Anolis sagrei: one gene and its partners. The protein of the gene in region 1 binds, or shares a complex with, the protein of each later gene. Links are inferred from orthologs where the notes say so. Each region holds a gene or a part of one and is shown in the gene's direction. Other genes may lie near its edges. The genes, in order: ROPN1L, NME5, DNAJB13 and DYDC1.

Region 1 (7,336 bases):
ATATTATTTATTGTAAGTGACAAGGTCCCCTGAGATTCTCAGAATACTTAATTCAATTCAAATTACTGAATTTTCGGGTTTGCAATGAAATCACAGAATGCATATGATTCTGCCAATGGAAAATCGTGGTTTTGCATATCCGCGCAAAGTTTGGAAATGTCTCTCCTATGTATATCAGGGTAGTGTTATGTGCAGGGAGGGAAATGTTATGCTTTGTATCACATTCTTCAGTAACTTTACCCAAATTTTAATATATTGCAGTGACATTTTTTGAGTTTTTTTTAAAAAATTCTGCTTCTGATTAAAGTATCTGTGCCATGGCTCCCCTTGTCCAAAAGTGCTGTATATAGTATATAGTCTCCTCTTTAATAGGCTTCCCATCACAATACAATGTTCAGTACCAATAAAATTTAATTTACATGCTTTCTTATTTTTGCCTGTTTTTCAAGATTGCCACTTTCATTTGTAGCTCCTAATTTGCAGGGAAATTATTTTTGTAACGCAGAACCAAATAACCAAATGTTTTACTATTAAAACTGTAACACTATAATGCTCCATGCCAACTTGTTTCTTGAACCACTAACAACCAACTCAGTTTTTTTAAGTACAGGGAATAGTTGAAATCTTAAATAAAAGGACGTCTTGATTGTGGTTGTCCGGATAGCTTTGACATCAATAATTGATATACAAGCAGGCATTTTTTTTTTAAAAGTGCTTTCAATAATGGGTGAGGATGTGAGAATACCATGTACTCTCAATATCTGCTGGGATTTGGTTCCAAGATCCCGTCTTGGATATCAAAAATTTTGTTTTTTCCAAGTACCAATAAATACAGTGGCAGAATAAAAGAGCATCCCTTATGCGGTATAACAAAACCCCAGTTTGCTTTTGGATTGTTTGGGAATATTTTCAAGCCATGCTTGGTTGAATCAGTGGACGCAGACTCTGTGAATAAGGAGAGCTGGCTTTATAATAGTGTTGGAGAGGCCATAGCCCACCTACTCTCTTCCTTCTCCAGCTCTGAGAAGGCTTACCCCACAATGTCTCCATGGCAATGCTCTTTAGCTCATTCTTTTCTTCCTCCTTTTCCCTCATATACCTCCCTCTCTTCTTTCTTCCCTTTCTTTGCCTCCAAGATCCAATCTAATCCAATAAGCCTTTATTGGTATATATATAGCAAAAGTATAAAATACAGTATCAACCATAGAAAAGGGAACTTCACATTTGCTACACATTCATTTTACAGACTTCGTTCAGGAATCTTGCCACTGAAAGGCAGCAGTTAAAATCTTGACAATTTAAAAGCATAATTACTTTGGGTCACACTGGTTTTTCAAGGAATCTATAACGTGTGTTGGTAAGCTAGATCTTGGTTCCTGGTAAAGTGGGCAGTACAGAAGAATATCCGGGATAGAATCCAGCTGTCTTGTGCTACAGGGACAAAGCCTCTTATTGCTTGGTAGACCGTTGAGTCTTCCTCTATGGAGCGGAGATGGCATAATATTAAATCTAGCCAGCATGTACGCTCTCCTGTAAGAGGGGTTAGTGAGTGCTGCAATGTAAAAGGCTGGGTTTCCCTGTATGAATGGGATTGCCATGTTGACAGTATTTCCTGCCCAGTTTACTGTATTGTTGCACTTTCCTGCGCTCCTGTAAAAATGTATTGCACTCATTGAATCTGTACCTCAGCTATGTTTCTTACAGCTATATTTTTATATTGCTTTCAGTTGTGTTATTATTTGTTTTCTCTGATTTTTTAATTGGTTAAAGTGTGTTTTAATTGTAATATTGGGCGTGTCCCTTATAAGCAGCCCTGAGTCCCCTAGGGGAGATGGTTGGCGGGGTATAAAAATAAAATTATTATTATTATACTGGTGAAATGTCAGGAGAAAATGCCTCTAGAACATGGCCATATAGCCCGAAAAAACCTACAACAACCTATTATTATTATTATTATTATTAATAGGTGAACAGGATTTATTGGCCAAGCACAATTGGTCATAATTCCTTTCTAGCAGCCTCTAGAGATCTCAGTGAAAGATAGCAAATTCAAGAAGTCGCTATCATAGCCCAATTACCCAATCTTTGCCTTATACGTCTTCCCCCTCCTCTTCTTCCTCTTCTTCTCCCTCCCCTCATAACTTTTCATTTCTCTCCCTTCCCTTCCTTTCTTTTCCATCTCCCCTTTTAATTTCTCCCCCTCCTCCTTTCCTTCCTGTCCCTACTTTTTCTTTCCTCCCTCCCTCCTTCCATACCCACTTCACTCAGTTTCACTTCCTTTCCCATGCACAGCTCAGAGGGCCACTTCACCTAGCCACAGCCAATCCGTTATGCTCCTTTTCTTTCCCTCTGGGCCCAAAGGGATGGTACGTTTAGTTCAAATCCTTCACTTATTTTAAACTAGCTGTATCCGAAATGTGTTGCTGTGGCCAACCTGCCTCTATCTCTCCTCCTTTCTTCTTTTTATTTCCCTTCTTCTTTCTTCCTTCTCTACCTGTTTCTTTCCTTGCTTCCTTTGCTCATCGGTTCCATCCTTCCTTGTCTCTTTCTTTGCTTCCTTCCCCTTCCTTTCGTTCCTTCTTCCTTTTCACTTTTTTATTTCCTTCTCTACATTTCTTTCATTCTCTCCTTCCCTCCTTCTTTCCCCCTTCCTTCCCCCTTTCTTTGTATATGTGTTTTGTGTGTGCATATATGTTTGTATATATTTCTGTATATATTTGTGTATATATGTGGTTTTGTGCATGAGTTGTAATGTAATTTTTTGTTTTTTGGCTTTTTAAGTCTCTTCCACTGTCCCTCCCCCCCCCCCCCCCCCAGTGTTTTATGGTTGATGGTCACTTCTTGGCCTTATAGGTGTAATGTGTCCAAATTTGGCAGCAATTCGTTCAGTGGTTTTTGAGTTCTGTTGATCCCACAAACGAACATTACACTTTTATTTATATAGACTAGCTGTCCCCTGCCACGCGTTGCTATGGCCCAGTCAGGTGATCTGGAAAATAAAGTAATGAGAAAGTGTTGGTTTTTAATATATGTAATTCCTTTATGCTTGTGAGTAAACAGTATTTCTTGTTGCTTCTTTGTCAGTGTTGATGTGGAGAGTGTCTGGTTTGCCTACTCTGGAATATGCAACATATCATAGTCCTTCTTTAAGGGTCTCTTTCAAATCTATGATACTATATCTGTGTGTGAGAGAGAGAATCATATTTATCTATCTATATTTATGACTGGATGGCTCTTTGTCAGGAGGGCTCTGATTAATTTTTTTTTGCCCTGGTGAACAGAGTTGGACAGGATGACCTTAAGTATTTTCTGTTGGTCATGGGAGTTCTGTGTGGGAAGTCTGCCCCATTTCTGTCGTTTGTGGGTTTCAGAATGCTCTTTAATTGTAGTGAACTATAAATCCCAGTAACTACAAATCCCAAATGTCAAGGTCTATTTCCTCCAAACTCCATCTGTGTTCATATTTGGGCATATGGAATATTTGTGCCAAGTTTGGTCCAGAACCATCATTGTTTGAGTCCACAGTGCTCTCTGGAGGTGAACTACAACTCCCAAACTCAAGGTCAATGCCCACCAAACCCTTCCAGTGTGTTCTGTTGGTCATGGAAGTCCTGTATACCATGTTTGGTTCAATTCCATCATTGGTGGAGTTCAGAATGTTCTTTGATTGTAGATGAACTATAAATCCCAGCAACTACAACTTCCAAATGTCAAGGTCTATTTCCCGTAAACTCCATCTGTGTTCATATTTGGGCATATGGAATATTTGTGCCAAGTTTGGTCCAGATCCATCATTGTTTGAATCCACAGTGTTGTCTGGATGTAGGCGAACTACAACTCCCAAACTCAAGGTCCATGTCCACCAAACCCTTCCAGTTTTTTCTGTTGGTCATGGGAGCCCTGTGTGCTAAGTTTGGCCCAATTCCATCATTGGTGAAGTTCAGAATGCTCTTTGATTGTAGGTGAACTATAAATCCCAGCAACTACAACTCCCAAATGACAAAATCATAATTTTTTGAGTAATAGTCACTCCTTGTGTTGTGAGAAGATTTGTTGCCAAATTTGGTGTGATTTCGTTCATTGGTTCTTTTGTTTTAAGACACTCATTATGCACAGTGCATTTATATATAGATACAGATTACATAACGAAGGATATGTGTGCTAGATTTGGTCCAGATCCATTAAGCCATGAAGGAGGCTTTGTGATACAAAGCAACTCAACAAAATACATACTTGGAAATGTATGTCTTCATGGGAAAGAGCTTTCCCTTTAAGAAGATGGCGCTGGTGGAACCACAGCCACTTCCTGTCCTCAGAGGCACTTCCGGAATGGATTCCGGAATGGAGAGGAGCCTGTCATAATGGAGTCCGGAGGCTAGCGATGACGTAAGGCCCAAGCGGCGACCAATCCCCGTCTAGGCTGCGAATCTCGTGGTTGCTAGGAGACGGTAAGGCACAAACGTTGCCATAGAAACCCAACCGCCGCGTCCCTGTGCGTGCCCGAGAGAGAGAGAGAGAGAGGTGAGGCCGTGGCCTTCGTTTGAGAAAGAGAGAGGGAGATGTGACTGATGTGCCCGATATGTTTGATTAGATTTTGCCTGATGTGTTTGTATTTGTATATATGGTACATGGCGTGTTTATATATATTGTCCCTGAGGTAGCTCCCCTTGGCCCTCCACCTTCTCTGCTCCCCAATGAACGACGCTGTGAGTAACTGCAGAGAGAGCGAGGGCTGAGGCCTACCAGAGCTGCGTCTACACCAGGCATTTTCAACCTTTGGACCTCCAATTCCCAGAAGCCCCAGCCAACTCGCCCAACGCTCAGGAATTCTGGGAGTTGGAAGCCCAAAATTCTGGAGGTCGAGGAGGCCTGATCACTGTATATAGAAATTATTATTATTATTATTATTAAACTTTATTTGTACCCCGCTACCATCTCCCCGGGGGTGCAGTGGGTTAAAGCACTGAGCTGCTGAGCTTGTTGATCTAAAGGTCGCAGGTTCGATTCCGGGGAGCGGCGTGAGCTTCCGCTGTCAGCCCTAGCTTCTGCCAACCTAGCAGTTTGAAAACATGCAAATGTGAGTAGATCAATAGGTACCGCTCTGGCGGGAAGGTAACGGCGCTCCATGCAGTCATGCCGGCCACATGACCTTGGAGGTGTCTACGGACAACGCTGGCTCTTCAGCTTAGAAATGGAGATGAGCACCACACCCCAGAGTCAGACATGACTGGACTTAGTGTCAGGGGACTACCTTTACCTTTTTACCATCTCCGCAAGGGACTCAGTGTGGCTTACATGAGGCCGAGCCCATAATACAACAATAAATTATTATTATTATTTGTACCTCACTAGCACCTCCCGAAGGCCTCGATGCGGCTTACAAAGGCCAAGGCCTCAATAGACAACATAACCATACAAACCTAAAGCAAATTAGAAACAAAGCAATATTAAACAACAATCAACAATACACCAAAACACAATAAAAACTGGGCCGGGCCAGAGTAATGGGTACAGAAATTAAAAGTGCTGATGTGACAGGTGGTATATATTGTCCCTGAGGTAGCTCCCCTTGGCCCTCCACCTACTCTGCTCCCCATTGAACGACGCTGTGAGTAACTGCAGAGAGAGCGAGGGCTGAGGCCTACAAGAGCTGCGTCTACACCAGGCATTTTCAACCTTCGGACCTCCAATTCCCAGAAGCCCCAGCCAGCTTGCCCAACGCTCAGGAATTCTGGGAGTTGGAGGCCCAAAATTCTGGAGGTTGAGGAGGCCTGATCTACACTGTATATAGAGATTATTATTATTATTATTATTATTATTATTATTATTAAACTTTATTTGTACCCCGCTACCATCTCCCCAAGGGACTTGGTGTGGCTTACATGAGGCCGAGCCCACAATACAACAATAAATTATTATTATTATTATTATTTATTTATTTATTTATTTATTTCACAGTTTTCTATACCAAGCTTCTCAACCTCATTGAGGGACTCAGCCCGGTTTCCAGCCATAAAAAACATATACACTCATTAAAATATCATATATCACAATTACAAAAACAACTTTAAAAACACTATATATAAAACTACAATGGTCAGTCGTCCTATTAAGATGGATCTACATAAACTTCCATCCAGGGTCCTATGGTGTTGTCTCATTCATTGAAGGCCTGACTCCACAGCCACGTCTTCACCCGTTTCCTAAATGTTAGGATGGATGGGGCGGTTCTGGCCTCCAGAGGGAGGGAGTTCCAGAGTTGCGGGGCCACCACCGAGAAGGCCCTGTCCCTCGTCCCCACCAGGCGGCTTGCGAGGCCGGTGGGACCGAGAGCAGGGCCTCTCCAGATGATCTTAATAATCTTGATGGTTCATAGGGGAGAATACGTTCGGAGAGGTAAACAGGGCCGGAGTCATTTAGGGCTTTATAGGTCAACACCAGCACTTTGAATTGTGCTCGGAAGCTAATTGGCAGCCAGTGGAGCTGGCGTAACAGCGGAGTGGTGTGCTCCCTGTACCCAGCCCCCGTTAGTAATCTGGCTGCCGCGCGTTGGACTTGCTGCAGCTTCCGGGCAGTCTTCAAAGGCAACCCCAAGTAGAGAGCGTTGCAGTAGTCTAAGCGGGATGTAACCAAAGCGTGTACTACCGTGGCCAAGTCAGCCCTCCCAAGGTACGGACACTGAGAAACACTGATCTAACACTGTACTACCGTGTACTGTACGACCGTGGCCAAGTCAGCCCTCCCAAGGTACGGACACTGAGAAACACTGATCTAAAACTGTGAAATAAATAATAATAATAATAATAATAATAATAATAATAATAATAACTTTATTTGTACCCCGCTAGCATCTCCCGAAGGACTCGATGCGGCTTACAAAGGCCAAGGCCTCAATACACAACATAACAATACAAACCTAAAGCAAATTAAAAACAAAGCAATATTAAACAACAAACAATCAACAATACACCAAAACACAATAAAAACTGTGCCGGGCCAGAGTAATGGGTACAGAAATTAAAAGTGCTGATGTGACAGGTGGTATATAAGGATTATAGAGTAAGTGCAGTGTGCAGTGTGCGACAATCTTAGTTCTAATAAAGTGCTTCTGGGACTTGGTATTGGAGATTTCCTATTCTGGGAAGGCGCATCGGAACAGCCAGGTCTTCAAGTTCTTTCTGAAGACTGCCAATGTAGGGGCCTGTCTAAGATCTTTGGGGGGGGGGGTGTTCCAGAGTCGGGGGGCCACCATGGAAAAGGCCCTGTCTCGTGTCCCCACCAAACGCGCTTGCGACACAGGAAGGATCATGAGCAGGGCCTCTTCAGATGAACGAAG
Region 2 (7,585 bases), on another chromosome or scaffold:
CACAGATATATAAACCCTTTTTCCTAGTTCCAACAGACCTCACTACCTCTGAGGATGCTTACCATAGATGCAAGGGAAACATCAGGAGAGAATGCCTCTAGAACATGGCCATATAGCCCAAAAAAACCTACAACAACCCAATGTGGGGTTTTTCTGCCTTGATATTCTGGGATATAGGGCTGTGTGGAAAGGTCCACAGTTGGAGGCTGGCCATTCCTGTGAAGAAGAAAGTCACTGAGGTATTTTATTCAATCCAGCTGGAAAGGGTGACAGGTCACCGTGAATCGCAAAAGGAAGCCAACATGTTTGGTACAAGCAAAACACATTTTCATACTGTTCAGTCTTTTGTTTTTCCCGCTTCACACTGATTGGCAGAACCGGCCTTGACGTCACAGCCAGTTGGGAGGATTCCCTCTGCGAGGTGAGACTGTGGCGCCCACCAGCAAATCAAAGAGTGTTCCCCACTTCCAATGCAGATTCTGACTCTCCAATGACTGGCGGGGCAGGATGACCAGTAGGACAAAACAATGCATAGTGTCTTGAGAGGATTACCGTGTCTAATGCCTCCAGTGCTAGTGTCCATTGAATTCCAGACCAGATATTGTCCAAGATGAGTGGATTATGCAGTCAGTTCCTGGGAAAGGGTAGATGGCATTGTGGATGACCGAGGCAGGACCTCCTGGTGTCCTGAAGGAGTGTTGGGTGATGAACATTCTCTTTGTGTCTAGGTGACTGCACAAAAAAACCCCATCTTATGGATCCAGACATCCTCTGTACAGTCGGGAATCAATGTAGATGGATTGATTCCAGTGATGATGGGTGCTTGAATCCTATTGTTGTGATGACGAGAAAGCGCTGGAGGTGACTTCCAGGTCAGGCAAAAGGTTACCTGAGCCTCAGTGTGGTGGCTTTATCTTCAAATAGTTTTATAAAATATAAAATATTATAAGCATATACAGCAAAGGGGTCCGGGGATACTGGGAGCTCATGTCACCGGGAACCGAGGTACCCATGGGGACGAGGGTTGGTAAAGGGGATAGCTGGGGTGAAAAGGGAAAGAAGGATGGGAGCCCCGCTTTGAGGGCTGTGGGGGCTATGGGGGCCAAGCGGTTACCGGGGCCTGCTTCAAGGGACGAAGAGGGGAGAAAAGGACATAGGAGGCAAAAAGAGATACAAATAATCAAATAAGAGAATAATACACCATAGTGTATACTTATTGAAGTGTTAGTTTGTAATGGGGGGGGGGGGGGGGGAAGCATCCAGGACAATTGGTGCTACTTGGTTCTCCAATTGCTTCTCAGATGGTTTGCATACTGGATCCCGGTGAGGCTCTGAGCTTCCGTTCTCCGTGACTCTGTCATGGCTCCAACTATACTTTATTAATAATTTGACCACGCTCGATCTCAGTTTGACACTACTTTTACTGCCATGGCTCAATGCAATGGAATAATGTTGTAGTTCTACAAGGTCTTGAGCCTTCTCATCCAAAGACTGCCGGTGCCTCACCAAATCACAACTCCTAGGTTTCCATAGCTATTTTCTGTCAAATGCTTTTCTTCATACAATGCATACATGGTGATTATATTTTATGTATAAATTACCTATCTGTCATAGAGCCACTAATAGGTTTGTTTTCTGTATTCCTGCTCCATTTTTAAATTGCAGGTAAGCAATTTCATTTCTGGGCAAATCCAACAAAGAAGACACATAAAGAAAAGATTCAGTGAGCATCAACACAAAGCCATGATTAATAATTTATTCTGAATAGTCATTTGAAGAAAAACATAAGCTGCAGTACTATACACTATTTGTACTAAGCTATTTTTATTCTTACTTTGCTCGAACAGAACTGTTTTACAACAGCACTGTAAAAAGGCAGAAGTGGAGTAGAAACAAGAATTCCACACAAAACTTAATATAATACCTTATTATTCACCCATATCCATTGCCAAACCCAAAACCATCCTGTAATAATAATTTAGAAATTCCATTCAGCAAAAAAAAAAAAATGCACTGTTTTGTTTGGATGTCCCATACACTTAATTGTTTCTTATTCTTGATGGTGCGGTAGGAGAAGTCTTTTAAAATGGTCGATTCATTGCTCAGATGTTTCTGCAGCTACAAGAGGGTAATCAATCATTTCCTTTTTTATTATGTTTTTCTTTTCATGTTTCATATCACTAATTTATTAGAAGTTATCAACTGGAAGTAATAAAAATAATTTCTACTATATTCTGATGGCCCTTCTACACAGTCAGATAAAATCCAGATTATCTGCTTTGAATTGGATTATATGGCAGTGTAGACTCATATAATCCAGTTCAAAGCAGATAACATGGATTATATGCTTTGATAATCTGGATTATATGATAGTGTAGAAGGGGCTCTAGATTGTCTGTGCTTCTTTATTAGTAATTCCTCTCACCTTGACCACACTCCGAAGTTCCTTACCTGTTCCTGCCACAGTTTTCACTGATGGTAGGTATGTGTTTATAGGCTTGCCAGGGTCAGGATAGTCTCTTGGCCACTGCTAGAACAGAACAGAATAGATCAGACAGAATGCAATAACCAGAAAACTAATCTCACTCAGAAATATGCTGACAGTGTCTCCACGGTGTCCCATAACACATGTTTCTTTCTCAACAGATCCCCACCCACTCAGAGCCAAAACTGTCTAATGGCATCACTGGCTGCAGGTGAAGACATGTTGGTATATTATCTATTAAAATGGGAAACACTGTAGAACACTGAAAAATAAAATTTCAAAAAGATGTCTACTTTAAACTATTTTCCCTAATGTGCTATTACTTATTTGGGTTTTAAAAATATTCTTCTGGCATTAATTTGATACATTTAAACACTGGTTAAATAACACTTATCTGAAATGCTAAGAACCAGAAGTATTTTAGTTTTTTTAAATAACTGATTTTGCATATACATACAGAACAAGTTATCCAGGAGATGGGATACAAGCCAAAATATGAAATTAATTAATAATGTCTCCATATTTTATACACATAGCCTGAAGATAAATTTATACACAATATTTTTTTAACAATTTTATGAAACAAAGATGTTGTTTTCTCAGGAATCCACTGAATGATTTTGCATTTCAAAATTCCAGATAATGAATGCTCAACCTGCTCATTCAACTTGTTATAAATAATCTATGAAAACAATGTGGCTGCAGTAGTTTTAAAAGACCTAAATCCCAACTTATAGAATCAAAGAGTTGGAAGAGACCTCATGGGCCATCCAGTCCAACCCCATTCTGCCAAGAAGCAGGAATATTGCATTCAAATCACCCCTGACAAATGGCCATCCAGCCTCTGTTTAAACTTTAAGATTTTGTTTTTAGTCTCTCAGTCCCTTCACACCTTTGTAAGAGTTAACAAAACACTAGCAATTCCTTAGGTAGGATGAGGGGATGCCAAGAATTACTGTATTGTCCCATAGGAGAAGACGGGAATCCTATATCTAATTGCCTGGAAATGGATTCTTTTGCACTTCATGAAACTTGGTTCTCCCAAGACTAACGTGTATGGGCAGGCCTGTTCACACTACGGTGTGATAAATCCACGTTAACTATAATGTCTGTCTGGGGCATAGTTTATGGAGGGTTGTTGAGATTTCTCTGCTAGAGAGCTCTAGTGTGTCACCAAACTACATCTCAGGAGTCCATAGGTTGCCTTCATGACTGTAGAACTCCAATCTTTGTTGTTGTTCTGACTTATGGTGATCCTGTCGTGGGATTTTCTTGACAAGATTTGTTCAACAAAGGTTTGCCATTGCTTTCCTTTGAGGCTGAGAGAGTGTGACTTGCCCAACTAACTTTTCCCTGCCAACTAACTCATCTGCCAGACTAAGACCCCTTCCACACAGCTGAATAAAATCTCACATTTTCTGCTTTGAACTGGAATATATGGCAGTGAGGATTCAGATAATCCAGTTCAAAGCAGATATTGTGGGATTTTCTGCCTTGACATTCTGGGATATAGGGCTGTGTGGAAGGGCTCTTAGTCCTTGATGAGGACTACAAACTTGTTCAGGGTATGGTTAAGTTTCAATAGAAAGTTGTGCGTATGCCTTACAAAATTCATACTTGTCTCCATGTGGATATAACCACAAATAGAAAAAACACCCCACACAGAGGTTGTGACCTCACAACCTGAGAATGCCTGCCATAGATGCAGGCGAGAATGCTTCTAGAATATGGCCATACAGCCTGAAAAACTTACAACTCAAACACCCCATAGGCAACCCCTAAACTAAAGGCACCAGATCCCATCTAATCTTGGGTGCTAAGCAGGGTTGGCCCTGGCTAGTACTTGGATGTTGTTGTAAATGAAGGAACTGGCAAAACCACCTGTGGGCATTACTTACCTAAGAAACCCTGTGAAATTAATGAGGCTGAATACATGGATGGAACAAGAGGGCTATGCTGGTGCCTATAATATACTCCTAAACATATCAGGACCTAACTGCATGAGTTATAGGGAAGGGAGGTTGCTATCTGCTCCCGACCATCAAGCCTCGAAGCTCGTAGAATGCATACTGAATGACAAAAGAGCGACCGCGCATTTCAAAATGGACCCTCGCCGGCTGCCGTAGCCGCTGGCTTGGGCTGCAGTTTCTTTGGTTGCCTGGCAACCGCATCTGGGGCGAGAGGTCTAATTTAGCAGGTATGCGGGGCCAATTCCTCTGTTCATCAGGCCCCAGGTGGAAGCGCGGAAGGGTTTTCTCTTTGGCAACTGCAAAGGGCAACGGAAGAAATGACAATGATCCCGGGAAGGGCGGCAGAGGGGTTTCAAGGGGCCAGGGAGTGAGGTAAACGTTTACTTCGGGGGATTTTAATTCAAGATACACTGTGGGTGCATCCACACTCTAGGATTAATGCAGTCTGACACCACTTCAACTGCCTTGGCTCAGTGCTGTGGAATCCTGGGAGTTGTAGTTCTACAAGGTCTTGAGCCTTCTGCTGGTACCTCCACCAATCTACATCTTCCGGGATTCCTTAACATCGAGCCATGGCCGTTAAAGGGGCGTCAAACTACGTTAAGTGTAAAGTGGAGATGTATCTAATGTTAACTGGGAGCCCTGTTACATTTCACTATTATCCCACTTTAACTGCCATGGTAACATCCTTTGAAATCCCAAAATGTACACTTTAGGGAGGGAGGGAGGAAGGGACCTTGGGCCTCACTAAACAACAAGCCTTAGGATGCCTCAAGGTGGCGCCATAGCAGGTAAAGTGGAATACCAGTAGTCCTTGCTCCATCATCACTTACAGTGGGTCTCCTCGTCAGCTGGACTTTGGTTCCAGTAACTCTCAGTAGATACCAGCATCCGTGGATGCTCGTCCCACTGTACACAATGACATGGTGACATAGAGTCCCTTATATTTGTTGTTGTTGTTTATTCATTCAGTCACTTCCAACTCTTTGTGACCTCATGGACCAGCCCACGCCAGAGCTCCCTGTCGGCCGTCACCACCCCCAGCTCCTTCAAGGTCAAGCCAGTCACTTCAAGGGTACCAACCATCCATCTGGCCCTTGGTCGGCCCTTCTTCCTTTTTCCTTCCATTTCCCCCAGCATCATTGTCTTCTCCAAGCTTTCCTGTCTTCTCATGATGTGGCCAAAGTACTTCTTCTTTGCCTCTAATATCCTTCCCTCCAGTGAGCAGCTGGGCATTATTTCCCAGAGTATGGACTGGTTAGATCTTATATCCTGTATATAAAATGGCAAAATCAAGGTCTGCTGTAACGAAGCCTCCCAGCTGCTGGCACCAAATTATGTAAAGAAGTACTATTTCCACTGAATGTGAGGAAGTCCAAATTTTCCCTGATGCCAACAATATTTGTAAGGAACCTTCTTTTAGATATCAATTAAGCTGCCAGCAATATGTCTAGAGACGCTGGTTTATGTCTCTGTTTATCTTTAGTTGTGTTGTGAGGTGACGTTGGTAGTGTGGAATGCACCAAGCATAAAGCAATGGAGGAGACAGGTTTGAAATATAAAGAGAACAAGTTTTATTGTTAACAGAACGTAATTGTTGCAGTTTTGAGAATTTGAACTTGGCACAAGGCTTGATGTTACAAAATGGCTGGTTTGAGATACATTCAAGCTTCTGATGTTACAATTCTATAAACTCCTTCTTTAGTGAAGTGCTTTTATTACTTCAGAGTTCCCTATTGTGAATATTCCACACTGTTTGTCCTATACTCGGATCAAACCACTTTCCTTACTGGCAATCCTTAAAACCCCTTCTGTTAGATTCTTTTAACCTAAGCAATCTAACAAGGTAACACTTTCAGCTCTCTTGCTGAAGAAATATTCACAAATCCTAAGAACTAACTGAATTCTCACAGCTTCACAACCCAGAGCCCTAACTGACTCTGATCCTCTTCCCCGGGTCTCATCCACCGGACTGACTATTAACTGTCGCTTTCAAACCTTTTATTCCTTAAACTCCGCCCACCTCCTCTGAGGCCTTGTTACCATGGCAACCTATCTCTTACAGTTAGGCCATAGCAACTAATGTAAACCCTAAATACAGTTTAAACACAGTACATTAAACACTCTATAATAAACATTTCTCTACATCTGCCTTTTGTAATTTATGTTTGCGGAGGGGGGGGGGTATGTTCAAGCCATGGATAGTCGAATGTATGGATGCAGAATCTGTTTATATGGAGAGCCAGCTTTAGTGTGCTAGTTGTGTGGAGTTTCTTAGGATCTTGTGTAACCTTTTTCACAAATAAACTCAGTGGCCTGAGATTGGGGATTTTTTAAAATGGTATTTGTTGTAAGTTATTTATTTCTTATATATGGTGTAGGCCAATTGGGTTATTTGCTTTAATTGATTTATGATGTTTTAGTTGAATATGTATTGTGTTTATTTCTGTTTTATAAATCATTATATGCCACTTTAAATTCCACTCATGGGACAAAAGCGGAATAAAAATGAATTAATAATAATAATAATAATAATACTTTGAGAAATAGAGCTTGCTGAGTAAAAACCATGAGTAAAAAAAGGCAGAAGTCAACGGGCAACCTTTTTTCTAGACAATAGCAGGGAGCATCTGCCAGTTTCTACCTATTATCCAACTCTTAAAGCCAGAATTATCAGAGCAACAGCCATCTCAAAAAAATACTTCTTTAGGCTCTATATCCCAGGATCTGATTCCAGGTTTTCTGTTTATCTCAGATTATCTGGCAGTGCAGACTCATATTTAAAGCAGAAAACCTGGGATCAGATCCTGGGATATAGGGTGTGTCTAGATGACCCTGGGAGGGTTATGTGACTGTAAACATGATTATGACTTCAAGTGACATGTAGACTCCATGAATTTCATAGGGTTTTCATAGGCAAGGGATACTAAAAGATTGTTATCACGTTTAAATTAGTGGGATTTATATCTGAATGAAACAATTTGGTTGACAATTTTTCTCTTTTCCCAAAAAGGCTACCAGAGTGGCATTTTAGGAAATACTGTCCCTGCTCAAGGCTAGCAGCATAAAAGAAAAGCTACAAGAAGAAAGGAGATGGAAGGAGGAGGGGAAAAGGGAAACCCAAACAGTA
Region 3 (7,266 bases), on another chromosome or scaffold:
ATGTGGCCCAAACAGGCTGGCTAACCTACATTACCAGCTGCACATGCAAAAGACACACAGGCAAGAGGCAAAAGGAGCAGAGTAGCATAATGCTTCTCCAAACTGTATTCTAAAATCCATACAGTTATACCCCACCGGATGTGGCCCAAACAGGCTGGCTGGCCTACATTACCAGCTGCACATACAAAAGACACACAGGCAAGAGGAAAAAGGAGAAGAGTAGCATAATGCTTTTCCAAACTGTATTCTAAAATCCATACAGTTATACCCCTACCGATGTGGCCCAAACATGCTGGCTGACCTACATTACTAGCTGCACATGCAAAAGACACACAGGCAAAAGGAAAAAGGAGCAGAGTAGCATAATGCTTCTCCACACTGTATTCTAAAATCCATACAGTTATACCCCTACCGATGTGGCCCAAACATGCTGGCTGACCTACATTACTAGCTGCACATGCAAAAGACACACAGGCAAAAGGAAAAAGGAGCAGAGTAGCATAATGCTTCTCCAAACTGTATTCTAAAATCCATACAGTTGCACCCCACTGGATGTGGCTCAAACATGCTGGCTGACCTACATTATCAGCTGCACATGCAAAAGACACACAGGCAAGAGGAAAAAGGAGCAGAGTAGCATAATATAGACATTCCATCATGTGTCAAGACTTTGAAAATAGATCAGAGTTGTTGATTTTTATCATATCCTGTCTCTGTTTCTAGGGGACGGGACCTGTTTTATCATGCAGCAAGACCTCGATCATATTGTTGAACTCACTGGACCAGACTGCGACCCTGTCTATAAGGTAACCCATGTTAGATGTGCCATGATACATTATTTTATTTTTATTTTGATTTTTTTAGTACCTTTTTTAAAATAACCGTCCTATGATTTTTCCAGTTTTTCACATCAACTCTGAACTTCTAATCTTCTAAACACAAGGAAAACTTTCTACTGTGAGAGCTGGAATGGATTTCCTCGAAGTGTGGTAGACTGCACCTGTAAATGTCTTGGAATTAGATGTCCTTGATTGTTTCCTCTCTGTTGTAATTTTAGAGTTTTTTTAATAGTAATAGCCAGATTTTGTTCATTTTAATGGTTTCCTCCTTTCTGTTGAAATTGTCCACATGCTTGTGTATTTCAATTGCTTCTCTGTGTAGTCTGACATGGTGGTTGTGAGAGTGGTCTAATCACCTCTCAACAAAAGTTTGCTCGAAGCACTGTCATAGAATCATAGAATCAAAGAGTTGGAAGAGACCTCATGGGCCATCCAATCCAACCCCATTCTGCCAAGAAGCAGGAATATTGCATTCAAATCACCCCTGACAGATGGCCATCCCGCCTCTGTTTAAAAGCTTCCAAAGAAGGAGCCTCCACCACACTCCGGGGCAGAGAGTTCCACTGCTGAACGGCTCTCACAGTCAGGAAGTTCTTCCTCATGTTCAGATGGAATCTCCTCTCTTGTAGTTTGAAGCCATTGTTCCATTGCGTCCTAATCTCCAAGGAAGCAGAAAACAAGCTTGCTCCCTCCTCCGTGGCTTCCTCTCACATATTTATACATGGCTATCATATCTCCTCTCAGCCTTCTCTTCTTCAGGCTAAACATGCCCAGCTCCTTAAGCCGCTCCTCATAGGGCTTGTTCTCCATACCCTGTCAGGCCATTATATATTAATCAAGGTGGTCAGTTGAAACATTCCCACCTAGCTCCAGCAGACAAGAGTCCTTTGTCCCACCCTGGTCATTCCACAGATATATAAGCCCTTTTTCCTAGTTCCAACAGACCTCACTACCTCTGGGGATGCTTGCCATAGATGCAGGCGAAACGTCAGGAGAGAATGTCTCTAGAACATGGCCATATAGCCCAAAAAACCTACAACAACGCATGTTATAGCTTGATTGCTATCTGTCGGGAGGGCTTGGATTGAGTCTTCCTGCCTGGCAGAATAAAAGGGGTCAGACTAGATGGCCTTTGGGGGTCCCTTAGAATCATAGAATCAAAGAGTTGGAAGAGACCTCATGGGCCATCCAGTCCAACCCCATTCTGCCAAGAAGCAGGAATATTGCATTCAAATCACCCCTGACAAATGGCCATCCAGCCTCTGTTTAAAAGCTTCCAAAGAAGGAGCCTCCACCACACTCCGGGGCAGAGAGTTCCACTGCTGAACGGCTCTCCCAGTCAGGAAGTTCTTCCTCATGTTCAGATGGAATCTCCTCTCTTGTAGGATTGTCTTCCCTTTGCTCTTGTACAATTAGTTGTGGATGTGACATCTATTTTCACTGTGGTGTGACTTGACATTATTATTTCCTTAGGTGGCCACCTGGGAGAAGCAGATCTATTCCTGTTGCCGAGACGGGACCGTAAGGAGATACCAACTTTCAGAACTTTGAACAAAGATAGAAATTATTTCTGAACTCTGGGCATTTTTCCAAATGCTGGGTGTATTTTGAAATTTCCATGGTTTTGTACTGTAAATACAACTGGAGGACACATTTGTTTGGGGACCTCATGAAGACACAATGATCCTGAATCGAACGGCTAGTGATCTTCAACACGAACCACAACCCACATTTATTTGGGTTATGGTCCAGTTTGCCTTTGCAGACAATATGTTGTTGGTCTCTCCTTGTTGTTTCTAAAAGGAGAAGGTAAATCAAGGCGAGAAGATGTTTTTGGTATGTTTTGTCTACCTCTCGACTAGAAAGGAAACCAATAAAAAATTGTTTGAAAACATCATGCCCTCCTAAACAGAAGGATCCTTTTTTTCTGGTGCTCCTCAATAAATATTGTTTCAGTTGTAAATTCCCATTCAAAATAAAGCTGATTTCATCTTGAATTATTTCATTGTATTGATGGCATCAAGAAAAGTATTGACTGATTCCTTTTTTAAATGCATTCTCTTAGCAGTTCTTCATTTATCACTCCGACTATTAATGGTCGGAGTGAGCTCCCGACCATTAATAGTCTAGCTTGCTGTTGACCTATGCAGCCCAAAAGACATTTGCATCTGTCAAGTAGGAAATTTAGGTACCGTTTTATGCAGGGAGGCTAATTCAACTAATTTTTGACATTTATATTATTTTAGACAATATCATATTTTAATAATATTTTATTTATTTATATAAAATATTATGTGTTATTTATTTATCATACTTTTATATGTTTTTTACAGAACAGCATATTTTTTATTTATTTATAATTTATTTGCACTGTTTTTATACAATATGGTATTTTTTTATTTTTTTATGCCTTTAATCATATTTCTATACTATTTATTTATTTTTAATATATTTATCTGTTTGGTTTTCATATAATATTTATTGATTTATAATACATTTATTTACATTGTTTTTATACAATTTAATATTTATTTATACTATATTTCTTTGTATTCTTTTATACAATATTTATTTATAATACATTTATTAGCATTGTTTTTATATAATTTAATATTTATACTATATTTCTTTTCTATTATTTTATACAATATTTATTTATAATACATTTATTTGCATTGTTTTTATACAATTTAATAATTATTTATACTATATTTTTGTATTATTTTTATACAATATTTTTTTATTTGTAATACATTTATTTGCATTTTTATACAGTTTACTATTTATACTATATTTCTTTGTATTATTTTATACAATATTCATTTATAATACATTTATTTGCATTGTTTTTATACAATTTAATATTTATACTATATTTCTTTGTATTATTTTTATACAATATTCATTTATAATACATTCATTTGCATTGTTTTTGTACAATTTAATATTTATTTACACTATATTTCTTTGTATTATTTTTATAAAATATTTCTTTATTTATAATATATTTACTTTCATTATTTTTATGCAATAGGATATAATGTTTATTTATTTATTAGATATTTATTTGAATTATTTTCATATAATATTTTATTCAATTGGCAAGGTCCATTCAGAAAAGATGAGGCCCCGCCCCCGTTTGCCGTAACCATAGCAACGGCAGGCAATGAGTCGGAGGCCCCGCCCCTTTAGCCTAGACATAGCAAGGAGCTTGAGGCCACGCCCCTTCAAGCCTCGACCAATAGTAATGGCAAGATCCATTCAGAAAAGGTTAGCCCTTCCACTGGGTGAGGCCCCGCCCCCTTTTCCCGTAACCATAGCAACGCCAGGCAAGGATCCGGAGGCTCCCCCCCCTTTAGCAGAGGCATGGCAAGGAGCTTGAGGCCACGCCCCTTCAAGCCTCGACCAATAGGAACGAGAGGCAGCCCCGTCATGCTTTGCGGCGGCCTGGGCTGAGGAAAGCGGCCTCCCGTTGCTAAGGCCGCGCGTCCCTAGCAACGGGAGGCCTGAGGCAGGCGGAGTAGGCCCGAGGCGGGAGAAGGAGGCGGCGGAGGAGGAGGAGGCCGGCCGCGATGGGGCAGGACTACTACGCCATCCTGGAGCTCACCCGCAGCGCCACCGACGCCCAGATCAAGAAGGCGTGAGGGCCTCTCTCTCTATGAAGGCGGGGTGGGACTGCAGCTCCCAGCATCCCCGGCCTGAGGGGAGGAGGAATGATGGTGGAGGTGGTGGTGGTGGCAGCACTCTCACTTTGGGGCCTCCTTTAAATACATCAGCTCATTAGATAGGATATTATTAGAATTCCAGTTTCTCAAGTTGCTCCTGACACGACTGACTAACTAAATAATAATAATAAAAATAATAAAATAAAATAAAATAAAATAAATAATAGTAATCACCCCAAATAAAAGCCTTATATGACCATCATCAGAATACACTATATTATGATGATGGTGAGGGACGAGGGACAGGGCCTTCTCGGTGGTGGCCCCCCAACTCTAGACAGCATAGTGTCTAGATCCAGGGAAGTAATGCTCCCCATGCTCTATTCCGCTTTGGTTAGACCACACCTGGAATATTGTGTCCAATTCTGGGCACCACAATTGAAGAGAGATATTGACAAGCTGGAATGTGTCCAGAGGAGGGCGACTAAAATGATCAAGGGTCTGGAGAACAAGCCCTATGAGGAGCGGCTTAAGGAGCTGGGCATGTTTAGCCTGAAGAAGAGAAGGCTGAGAGGAGATATGATAGCCATGTATAAATATGTGAGAGGAAGCCACAGGAAGGAGGGAGCAAGCTTGTTTTCTGCTTCCTTGGAGACTAGGACGCAATGGAACAATGGCTTCAAACTACAAGAAAGGAGATTCCATCTGAACATTAGGAAGAACTTCCTGACTGTGAGAGCCATTCAGCAGTGGAACTCTCTGCCCCGGAGTGTGGTGGAGGCTCCTTCTTTGGAAGCTTTTACACAGAGGCTGGATGGCCATCTGTCGGGTGATTTGAATGCAATATTCCTGCTTCTTGGCAGAATGGGGTTGGACTGGATGGCCCATGAGGTCTCTTCCAACTCTTTGATTCTATGATTCTATGATTAGATAGGATATTATTAATATTGCAGTTTCTCAAGTTGCTCCTGACATGCCAAAATAAATAAATAAATAAATAAATAAATAAAAATAAAATTAATAATAGTAATCACCCCAGATAAAAAGCATTATATGACCACCATCATAATACACTGTGTGTGTGTGTGTGTGTGTGTGTAATTACCCCAGGTAAAAGCATTATATGATAATCATATATATATATATATATATATATATACACACACATATATAATGATTATCATATAATGCTTTTATATATATATAGATATCGATAGATAGATTATCATATAATGCTATTATATATATAATAGTATTAGATAATAATAATCCCCCCAGGGGTGAGGAAAGTGGTATATAAATACTGTAAATAAAATAAAAATAAATAAATCCTCAATATCATCATATAATATATAATAGTAATAATCACCCTAGATAAAAGCATTATATGATTATCATCATCATCATATAATATTATATATATATGTATACATATGTATATATGTTTAATAATAATAGTAATCACACCAGATAAAAGTATTATATAATAATAATCCTCATTATCGTCATATAATATAATATATAATAGTAACAATCACCCCAGACAAAAGCATCATACTTACTTCTACTTAGGCGATCCCTCGTTGGACGAGTAAGATGGTCTTCCGTGATGTGTTTCCTTGTGGATTCGTAGGTGGCTGTGGAGCCCTATTCTTGACCCGCATCTTCTCCCACAGTGAAGGCATTGGTTTCCAGGTGGAAGGCGGTCCCGGTCGGGGTTGGCTTGACGCGCCTTCCTCCTGGCACATTTCTCTGTTTCACCCTCCACTCGTGCCTCCTCGAATTCTGCAGCACTGCTGGTCACAGCTGACCTCCAGCTGGAGCGTTCAAGGGCCAGGGCTCCCCAGTTCTTGGTGTCTATGCCAGAGTTTTAGAGGTTGGCTTTGAGCCCATCTTTAAATCTCTTTTCCTGTCCACCAGCGTTCCGTTTTCCATTCTTAAGTTCAGAGTAGAGCAACTGCTTTGGGAGACGGTGGTCAGGCATCCGGACAACGTGGCCGGCCCAGCAGAGTTGATGGCAGAGGACCATCGCTTCAATGCTGGTGGTCTTTGCTTCTTCCAGCACACTGACGTTTGTCCGCTTGTCCGATATATAATGCTATTATATATTTAATAGTATTAGATAATAATAATCCCCCCAGGGGTGAGAAAGGCAGTATATAAATAATGTAAATAAATAAATAAAATCCTCATTATCATCATATAATATATAATAGTAATAATCACCCCAGATAAAAGCATCATATTATTATTATTATTATTATTATTATTATCATCTGCTGGAAGAAACATTAACAACCTCAGATATGCAGATGACACCACTCTAATGGCCAAAAGCGAGGAGGAGCTGAGGAGCCTTCTAATCAAGGTGAAAGAAAAAAGCGCAAAAGCTGGGTTGCAGCTAAACATCAAAAGAAGACAATTATGCTGGGGAAAGTGGAAGGTAAAAGGAAGAGGGGCCGACCAAGGGCAAGATGGATGGATGGTATCCTTGAAGTGACTGGACTGACCTTGAAGGAGCTGGGGGTGGTGACGGCCGACAGGGAGCTCTGGCTGTGGGCTGGTCCATGAGGTCACGAAGAGTTGGAGACGACTGAATGAATGAACAACAACAAAGTAACAATCACCCCAGATAAAAGTATATGATTATCATCATCATATAATATTATATATGTGTATAATGATAGTAGTATTGTTACATATTATTATTATTATGTTTAATAATAATAGTAGTAATCATACCAGATGAATATTATATATAT
Region 4 (7,058 bases), on another chromosome or scaffold:
CTCGCTTTCGGCCATCAGAGTGGTGTCGTCTGCATATCTGAGGTTGTTAATGTTTCTTCCAGCAATTTTCACCCCAGATTTGTATTCATCAAGCCCCGCACATCGCATGATGTGTTCTGCATACAAGTTAAAAAGGTTGGGTGAGAATATGCAGCCTTGCCGTACGCCTTTCCCAATCTTGAACCAGTCTGTTGTTCCGTGGTCAGTTCTGACTGTTGCTACTTGGTCCTTGTACAGATTCCTCAGGAGAGAGACAAGGTGGCTTGGGATGCCCATCCCACCAAGAAGTTGTCACAATTTATTATGATCCACACAGTCAAAGGCTTTAGAATAGTCAATGAAGCAGAAATAGATATCTTTCTGAAACTCCCTGCCTGTCTCCATTATCCAGCGGATATTGGCAATCCCCAAAGAGAATAGAATCATAGAATCATAGAGTTGGAAGAGACCTCATGGGCCATCCAGTCCAACCCCCTGCCAAGAAGCAGGAATATTACATTCAAATCACCCCTGACAGATGGCCATCCAGCTTGGCTCACGAGGCCAAGTCCAGCGATACATTACAGCAACATAAAATATAAACAACAAAATAATATCACAATAAAATAAATAAACCAATCAAATAAACAATACAAAATAACATAATGGAAAATCAAATACAGTGGGTGGGCCAATTGCATGACATAAAATGATAAAACTCTGGATGAAATAGCAATTGAAAAGGTATATTTGTGGGGGAGGAGCTCGTAGGGGACTGAACAGTGGAATATGATTTTCAATACAGCAAAATATTAAGAAAATCAAAATCAAAAACATAGATGATTTCCATAATTATAGAATGGGTGCTGAATACTCTGAAATGCAGTAGTCAAGAGCTTTCTAAACGACCCTTTAAATTCAAAGAAATTACAGTAATCAACTAAATAAACAGATCAAAACAAGCACAAAACTGCACACAACAGGAAAACTTACACTAAGAATAAAAATGTTAAACACATTGAAATGATTTCCAACTTATACCTGGGAGCCCCTGGTGGCTCAGTGGGTTAAACCACTGAGCTGCTAAACTTACTAACGGGTCACAGGTTCAAATCTGGAGAGCGAGGTGAGCTCCCGCTGTTAGCCCCAGCTTCAATTCTCCTGTTTCTGAATGCTTATGATAAAATTAAACTTCTTAATAAATTGCAACTCTCTTCCTCTCTCCCTCTAATCTCCATCTATAAATCCCATCTCCTAAATGACAAAATCAACCCTCCCCCAACCCCTCCAGCATTCAAATGTCGGCGTATCAGATATTTGTGCCAAATTGGTCCAGTAAATGAAATACATTCTGTATTTAAGATATTTACATTACAATTCATAACAGGAACAGAATTACAGTTCTGAAGTAGCAACAAAAATAATTTTATGGTTGAGGGTCATCACAACATGAGTAACTGTATTAAGGGGTTGCTGCATTAGGAAGGTTGAGAACCACTGATCTATGGCAAGCATCCTCAGAGGTTGTAGGGTGACAACAATCCTATCTCTTCATCCAAAAGCAGGCCCACACTTCCCATTGAAATACTAATAAGCTTATATCTGTTAAAATTGTTCTTTATTTATTGTATTGTTTTAAAGTGTTTTTTTGCACTACAAATAAGATATGTGCAGTGTGCATAGGAATTCATTTATGATTTTTTTCACATTATAATCTGGCCCTCCAACAGTTTGAGGGACCGTGACCTGGCCCTCTGTTTAAAAAGTTTGATGGCCCCTGCTCTAGTGTGATGAAGTAGTAGAGAACACAATTCCTTTGATGCTACAATGTATCTCCATTTTTGGGACTTTGTCAACATTTTCCCCTCCAACACTATACTAGGTACAGTGTTCCCTCACTACTTCACTTTTCACGGACTCGCTGTTTCGCGGTTTTTCAATAAATACAGTAATGTATATATTTACACTGGAGCTACGTCTCTCCTTGCCACGTGCATCGTGGGATATGCCAGCCTGGGAAGCCGCCTCCTGCATTCACCCCACTTGCCCAACTCCTCCTTCTCGCCTTCTTCTTTCTCCCCCTCTTCCTCACTTTCCTCTGCAGATGGGAGCCTGTCCGGATTGAAAGCGGGAGAAGGAAGGGAAGGATGATGGACAGGTCTAGAGGGGTGAATGGCAGGTGGGTCTTGAGGGAGGAGGGGGGACCCACGCAGAGGCGGCTCTAGGTATTTTCAACGGTAAGCAAACAGTATCCCCCCCCCCCAACCACCAACCAATCACTGATATATGTTTTCTGTTTGTCATGGGAGTTCTGTGTGCCATATTTGGTTCAATTCCATCATTGGTGGAGTTCAGAATGCTCTTTGATTGCAGGTGAACTATACATTCCAGTAACTACAACTTGCATATGTCAAGGTCTATTTTCCCCCAAGAGCACCTCAAGAGTGCCCTGGGCAAAATCAACTATACTGCAAATGCTTACTTTGCGTAATGGGTTGAGCCGCCCCTGGACCTGCGTGACATCACGAGACCAACCCAGTGCATGGAAAGAAAGGCAGGAGAGGCATAAAGCTTCCTAAAAAGAAAAGGGTGTCAGGATATACTCAGAGGATGAATACACACCAAAAATGAGAGTAGGACTTTTGCAATGGCAGCTTGAGATGCTACTTAAAAACCTGGATGTTCGAACAGGCATTTGGTTAATCGGTGCAATGAATGTGATGATTACAGGAATGGTAATATGGACGACGAAACTGGATCACGATTTTAGTCATGAGATGCATTGGGTTGTTATTGTTGTGTCAATATTGTGTATTATGCTTTTATGGTTTTAAATTGTATATTGTTGACTGTTGTACCTTTGTTGTAAACCGCGTTGAGTCGCCTGTTAGGCTGAGAAACTGTGGTATACAAGTAAAGTAAATAAATAGTGTCCCTACTTAGTGGATTTTCACTTTTTGTGGGTGACCCTGGAAAGTAACAGCCACAATAAGTGAAGGAACACTGTATCTTTCTTTTCCTTTGAAAATTCTTTCCTTTGAAACTCTGCATCAGTGCAGAGATAATAAAAAGAACAAATAAAAGGGAGTAACCTCTCCTATACTCTATGGCAGGGGTCCTCAAACTTTTTAAACAGAGGGCCAGGTCAAAGTCTCTCAAACTGTTGGAGGGCCGGATTATAATTGTGGAAAAAAATGAATGAATTCCTATGCACACTGCACATATCTTACCTGTAGTGCAAAAAAATAAATAAAATAAAAACAACACAATAATTAAAATGAAAAACAATTTAAATAAATATAAACTTATTGGTATGGACCTGCTTTTGGCTGATGAGATAGGATTGTTGTTATTGTTGTGTGCTTTCAAGTCATTTCAGATTTAGGTTGACTCTGAGTGAGGGCCTGTTAGATGACCTTGGAGGGCCATATGCGGCCCTCAGGCCATAGTTTGAGGGCCCCTGCTCTATGGGGCCAAGAGAGACCCTGACTTCTCCCTTATTTCTAACTATGAACTTATGATGGAACCTCCCTTAGTTCCTATCCCTGTGTCTTTATTTTATTGCTTTATTTTGATATCATGGAATACATTAAATAGAAGGCAAACCAAAATGAACTCTTTTAACCTCTTGAGCAATCTCAAATTATTCCAGGATTTCTCCTCTACTCTGGCAGAAGGCATGGCCAGGGCAAAAATCTGTTGGACAAAGGTCTTCCCTAGCACGCAGCGGGAGCCCATCCATTTGCTGCCTGAAATGCCCCCTTTGGGGGACTCAAGCAGCTCACTGGACAAAGACTCGGGAAGAAACATTGATGATATACTCTTCAAGATATTTCCAACAATAGTTATTTAACCATTTAACTCGAAAAAGATATAAATAATACACCCATTTCAGGTTTTCTTTCAAATTGTAACCCACACTCTTCTCTCTTCCTCATATAATCATTGCCACACAATCCTTTCTCACGTTCTGATTTGATCACTTCGAAATCTCCATCCTTTTTAATCTGCTTTGTATCTTTCCAAGATTAGTAAATTGGGAAACTATCATTACCCAGTAAGAAACATTTTGATCCAGCGCTTGTGAAGACTGATCTTGCCAATTAGCATTAAAAGTCAAACCAAGTAAAGGTAGGAGGAACATCTTGTCTACGGAGAAGAGGGAGTTGTAGCATCATCAGAGATAAAGCAGTGGTCCGTTGCTAGGATACCAAACAGAAGCTTCCAGGTCTAACGGCTTCTCTGAGCATCCTCAGTTGATGAAGCCATACTGAAGAAAGAGACATTACAGTTTGGTACATCCTTGGGTTCAAGTGTAAGTTTGCCTTTTGATAAATACTTTTTTCTATCATGATATGTAGATTCTCTTAGTGATGACAGTTGGGTGGCTTCTCATTTGAACTAGAATTGATGCTGAGAGAGTCCGACTGGGGGGTGCTTCATACACCAATCTCTGGTAAGGTAAAATCGCCATGGGCCCAATTAATCCCAATATCCCAATGTAGCATCTTGTATGATGTTGTGTTATAATCTGAAGGTTGGAAGGCTAGTGTTTGAATCTCAGGCATAGAAACCCACTGGGGAACTTTGGGCATTTTCTCTCAGCCTGAATAATAATAATAATAATAATAATAATAATAATAATAATTATTATTATTATTATTATTATTTTATTTCTTACCTGTCTCTCCTCGTGGCTTGATGCAGGTTTTTTTTTTTGTCGTGTCAGGAGCGACTTGAGAAACTGCAAGTCGTTTCTGGTGTGAGAGAATTGGCCGTCTGCAAGGATGTTGCCCAGGGGATGCCCGGATGATTTGATGTTTTATCATCCTTGTGGGAGGCTTCTCTCATGTTCTCTCATGTTCCCGCATAAGGAGCTGGAGCTGATAGAGGGAGCTCATCCGCCTCTCCCCGGATTCGAACCTGTGACCTGTCCTGCATCACCGGGGGCTCCATTGAGACAGGTTACAGCATAATTAAAACACATGAATATCGTAGAAATTCTATACACACATGTTCAGATAATGCAACAAGCCTTTATTTTCTCTGTCTTATAAATGGAAGAGTGTTTAGTGAGTTTTTATGGGGCTTTTGGCTTACACACACACCTACACCCATATATATATGCTGTGTGATCAATGAAAAAATGTTTCAAAATTCATTACAAAATTAGGGGGTGTTGATGTTTCATTTCTAAAGGGTTTCTAAAGTATCGTTAGTAAAAATTTAATTACTGTAATGAGAGTAACAAAATTTTGTCACTTTTTCATTATAGTAATTGTGCAAGTAGGGAAACTTCAGAGGCCCCTTTCTGCCTCATTGGCATGAAACTTGCTATGATTATAGAACATATTTACCACTGTTAGCCCATGGAGTTTCAGAATGTTTCACCCATCTATGGATTTTTTTGCAAATTTTCAAAAAAAATTACAAACAAAATTAAAAAAATACAAGAGGTGGCTCCTTGAATTTTCTATACAATGGCACAGGATAACAGGGGATCATTCCCCCCAACTTTCCAAAATATTCATGCATCTACTGATTTTTTGGATTTTTTTTAAAAAATGACAAAAACTTTTTTTAAAAAAACCCCACAACAGCTATTTCATTGAATGTCTTTAACCAACAAAACTTCAATTTAGGGATTTCTTTACAGCCCAGCAGAAATTTATTTGCTTGTATCAGTTAGTCCTCCTCTTTGCAAATTCAACAATTTCTTGGAACTCTGGCTACTTCTATGAGGAACCAATCTCTCCCCTATCCCGCTTGGGGCTTTCTGATGCTTATTATTATTATTATTATTATTAACTTTATTTGTACCCCGCTAGCATCTCCCGGAGGACTCGATGCGGCTTACACAGGCCGAAGCCTCAAACACAATACAATAGAGAATATAACATCACAACAACAAGGCAAATCAAACAGTAAGCAAAATAACATAACACCGCAATACTAAACAAATCAAACAATATGCAAAATAACAACAATAGCAGTACATCAGGACATTATTAAAAACTGGTTCGGCCGGCGCACTGGGGTACAAGGGTTAAAAGTGCTGAATGGCAGGAGGCACGTAGGGTTAAAAGTGCGATGTGCAGTGACAATTTGTTATGCTAAGGTGCTACTAGGACTTGGGGTGGGGATTCCTAGAATTCTGGGAAATGTAGTTTAGGGCAGGACCTTTTGAATTCTCTGCCATAGGGCTCCTCGGCTTTCCAAACTACATTTCCCATAATTCTGTTTTCTCTTAGTCTCTTTCCCAGCTCACTCAGCTCATGTTGCCCTGCTGCTTTCCTGTCCTCATAGCAAGAAGCAGCCTATCATTTCTTAATTCAAATAGGAATGACAGCTTTTTTGGCTTCACCTCATTTGAAGTGAAAATAAAACTGACTTACAAAAATTACAGCATTCAAACAAAAAAGTATTGGGTGAGTTTTAATTCTTAAGTTTTTGTGTGGGCACCCCCCCCCCTTGTGTTTCCTAATATCTGTTTGTTTATGAAAAACTGACAAATTACATAGATACATATTTAAAACATATTTCTGTAAAATACTTATTAAAATGCACATAACAGAGATTAAACACAAGACACAAGTATAAAATTCATGCTTACAACTGACTGGGAAGGCTCTCTGAACAATTTATATCATGATAGGTTTGCCTTGAAGTCACCATAAGTCAGGCACACAACAGCAACAGAGATGAATTATGATCACATGCAATGGTCTTCAATGTTGGGCAATGCTCATATTCACAAGAATCCAGCAAGGGCAGAGTTCCCCCTCCAGAACCATTGTGCAAATGGATCCAAAAGCATGGGTGTCAAGTCATGCTTCCCATTGTATATACAATAGGCATCCAAATGCCATGCGACTTGTTGTTCAATGGGAATTTCCATAGAGCAACACGATACTGCTCAGAATACACAAAATTTTGTATTTTTTCACCTGTTCTCAACCTGTGGGTCCCCAGGTGCTTTGGCCTACAGCTCCCAGAAATCCCAGCCAGTTTACTAGCTTTTAGGATTTCTGAGAGTTGAAGGCCAAAACATCTGGGGACCCACAGGTTGAGAACCACTG

Evidence for each region.
Region 2: ROPN1L (region 1) and NME5 share a complex: the UniProt entries of both Homo sapiens proteins name them as parts of the axonemal radial spoke complex. The link is inferred for Anolis sagrei from reciprocal best matches to the Homo sapiens genes ROPN1L and NME5.
Region 3: ROPN1L (region 1) and DNAJB13 share a complex: the UniProt entries of both Homo sapiens proteins name them as parts of the axonemal radial spoke complex. The link is inferred for Anolis sagrei from reciprocal best matches to the Homo sapiens genes ROPN1L and DNAJB13.
Region 4: ROPN1L (region 1) and DYDC1 share a complex: the UniProt entries of both Homo sapiens proteins name them as parts of the axonemal radial spoke complex. The link is inferred for Anolis sagrei from reciprocal best matches to the Homo sapiens genes ROPN1L and DYDC1.

Annotation. Positions count from the first base shown.
Region 1 is NC_090024.1:104,141,261-104,148,596, reverse strand, and holds the start of ROPN1L (ropporin-1-like protein), read left to right. Parts: upstream 1-4,334; 5' UTR 4,335-4,521; intron 4,522-7,336. UniProt on the Homo sapiens protein: Functions as part of axonemal radial spoke complexes that play an important part in the motility of sperm and cilia. Important for male fertility.
Region 2 is NC_090022.1:88,384,445-88,392,029, forward strand, and holds the start of NME5 (nucleoside diphosphate kinase homolog 5), read left to right. Parts: upstream 1-4,576; 5' UTR 4,577-4,682; exon of another isoform or gene 4,683-4,827; intron 4,828-7,585. UniProt on the Homo sapiens protein: Functions as part of axonemal radial spoke complexes that play an important part in the motility of sperm and cilia. Does not seem to have nucleoside diphosphate kinase (NDPK) activity.
Region 3 is NC_090023.1:5,702,357-5,709,622, reverse strand, and holds the start of DNAJB13 (dnaJ homolog subfamily B member 13), read left to right. Parts: upstream 1-4,263; 5' UTR 4,264-4,411; coding exon 4,412-4,479; exon of another isoform or gene 4,480-4,497; coding exon of another isoform or gene 4,498-4,508; intron 4,509-7,266. Other genes in the region: PAAF1 (proteasomal ATPase-associated factor 1), read left to right, coding at 724-806, 2,313-2,390. UniProt on the Homo sapiens protein: Functions as part of axonemal radial spoke complexes that play an important part in the motility of sperm and cilia.
Region 4 is NC_090023.1:155,234,783-155,241,840, reverse strand, and holds the start of DYDC1 (DPY30 domain-containing protein 1), read left to right. Parts: upstream 1-4,039; 5' UTR 4,040-4,294; intron 4,295-7,058. UniProt on the Homo sapiens protein: Functions as part of axonemal radial spoke complexes that play an important part in the motility of sperm and cilia. Plays a crucial role during acrosome biogenesis.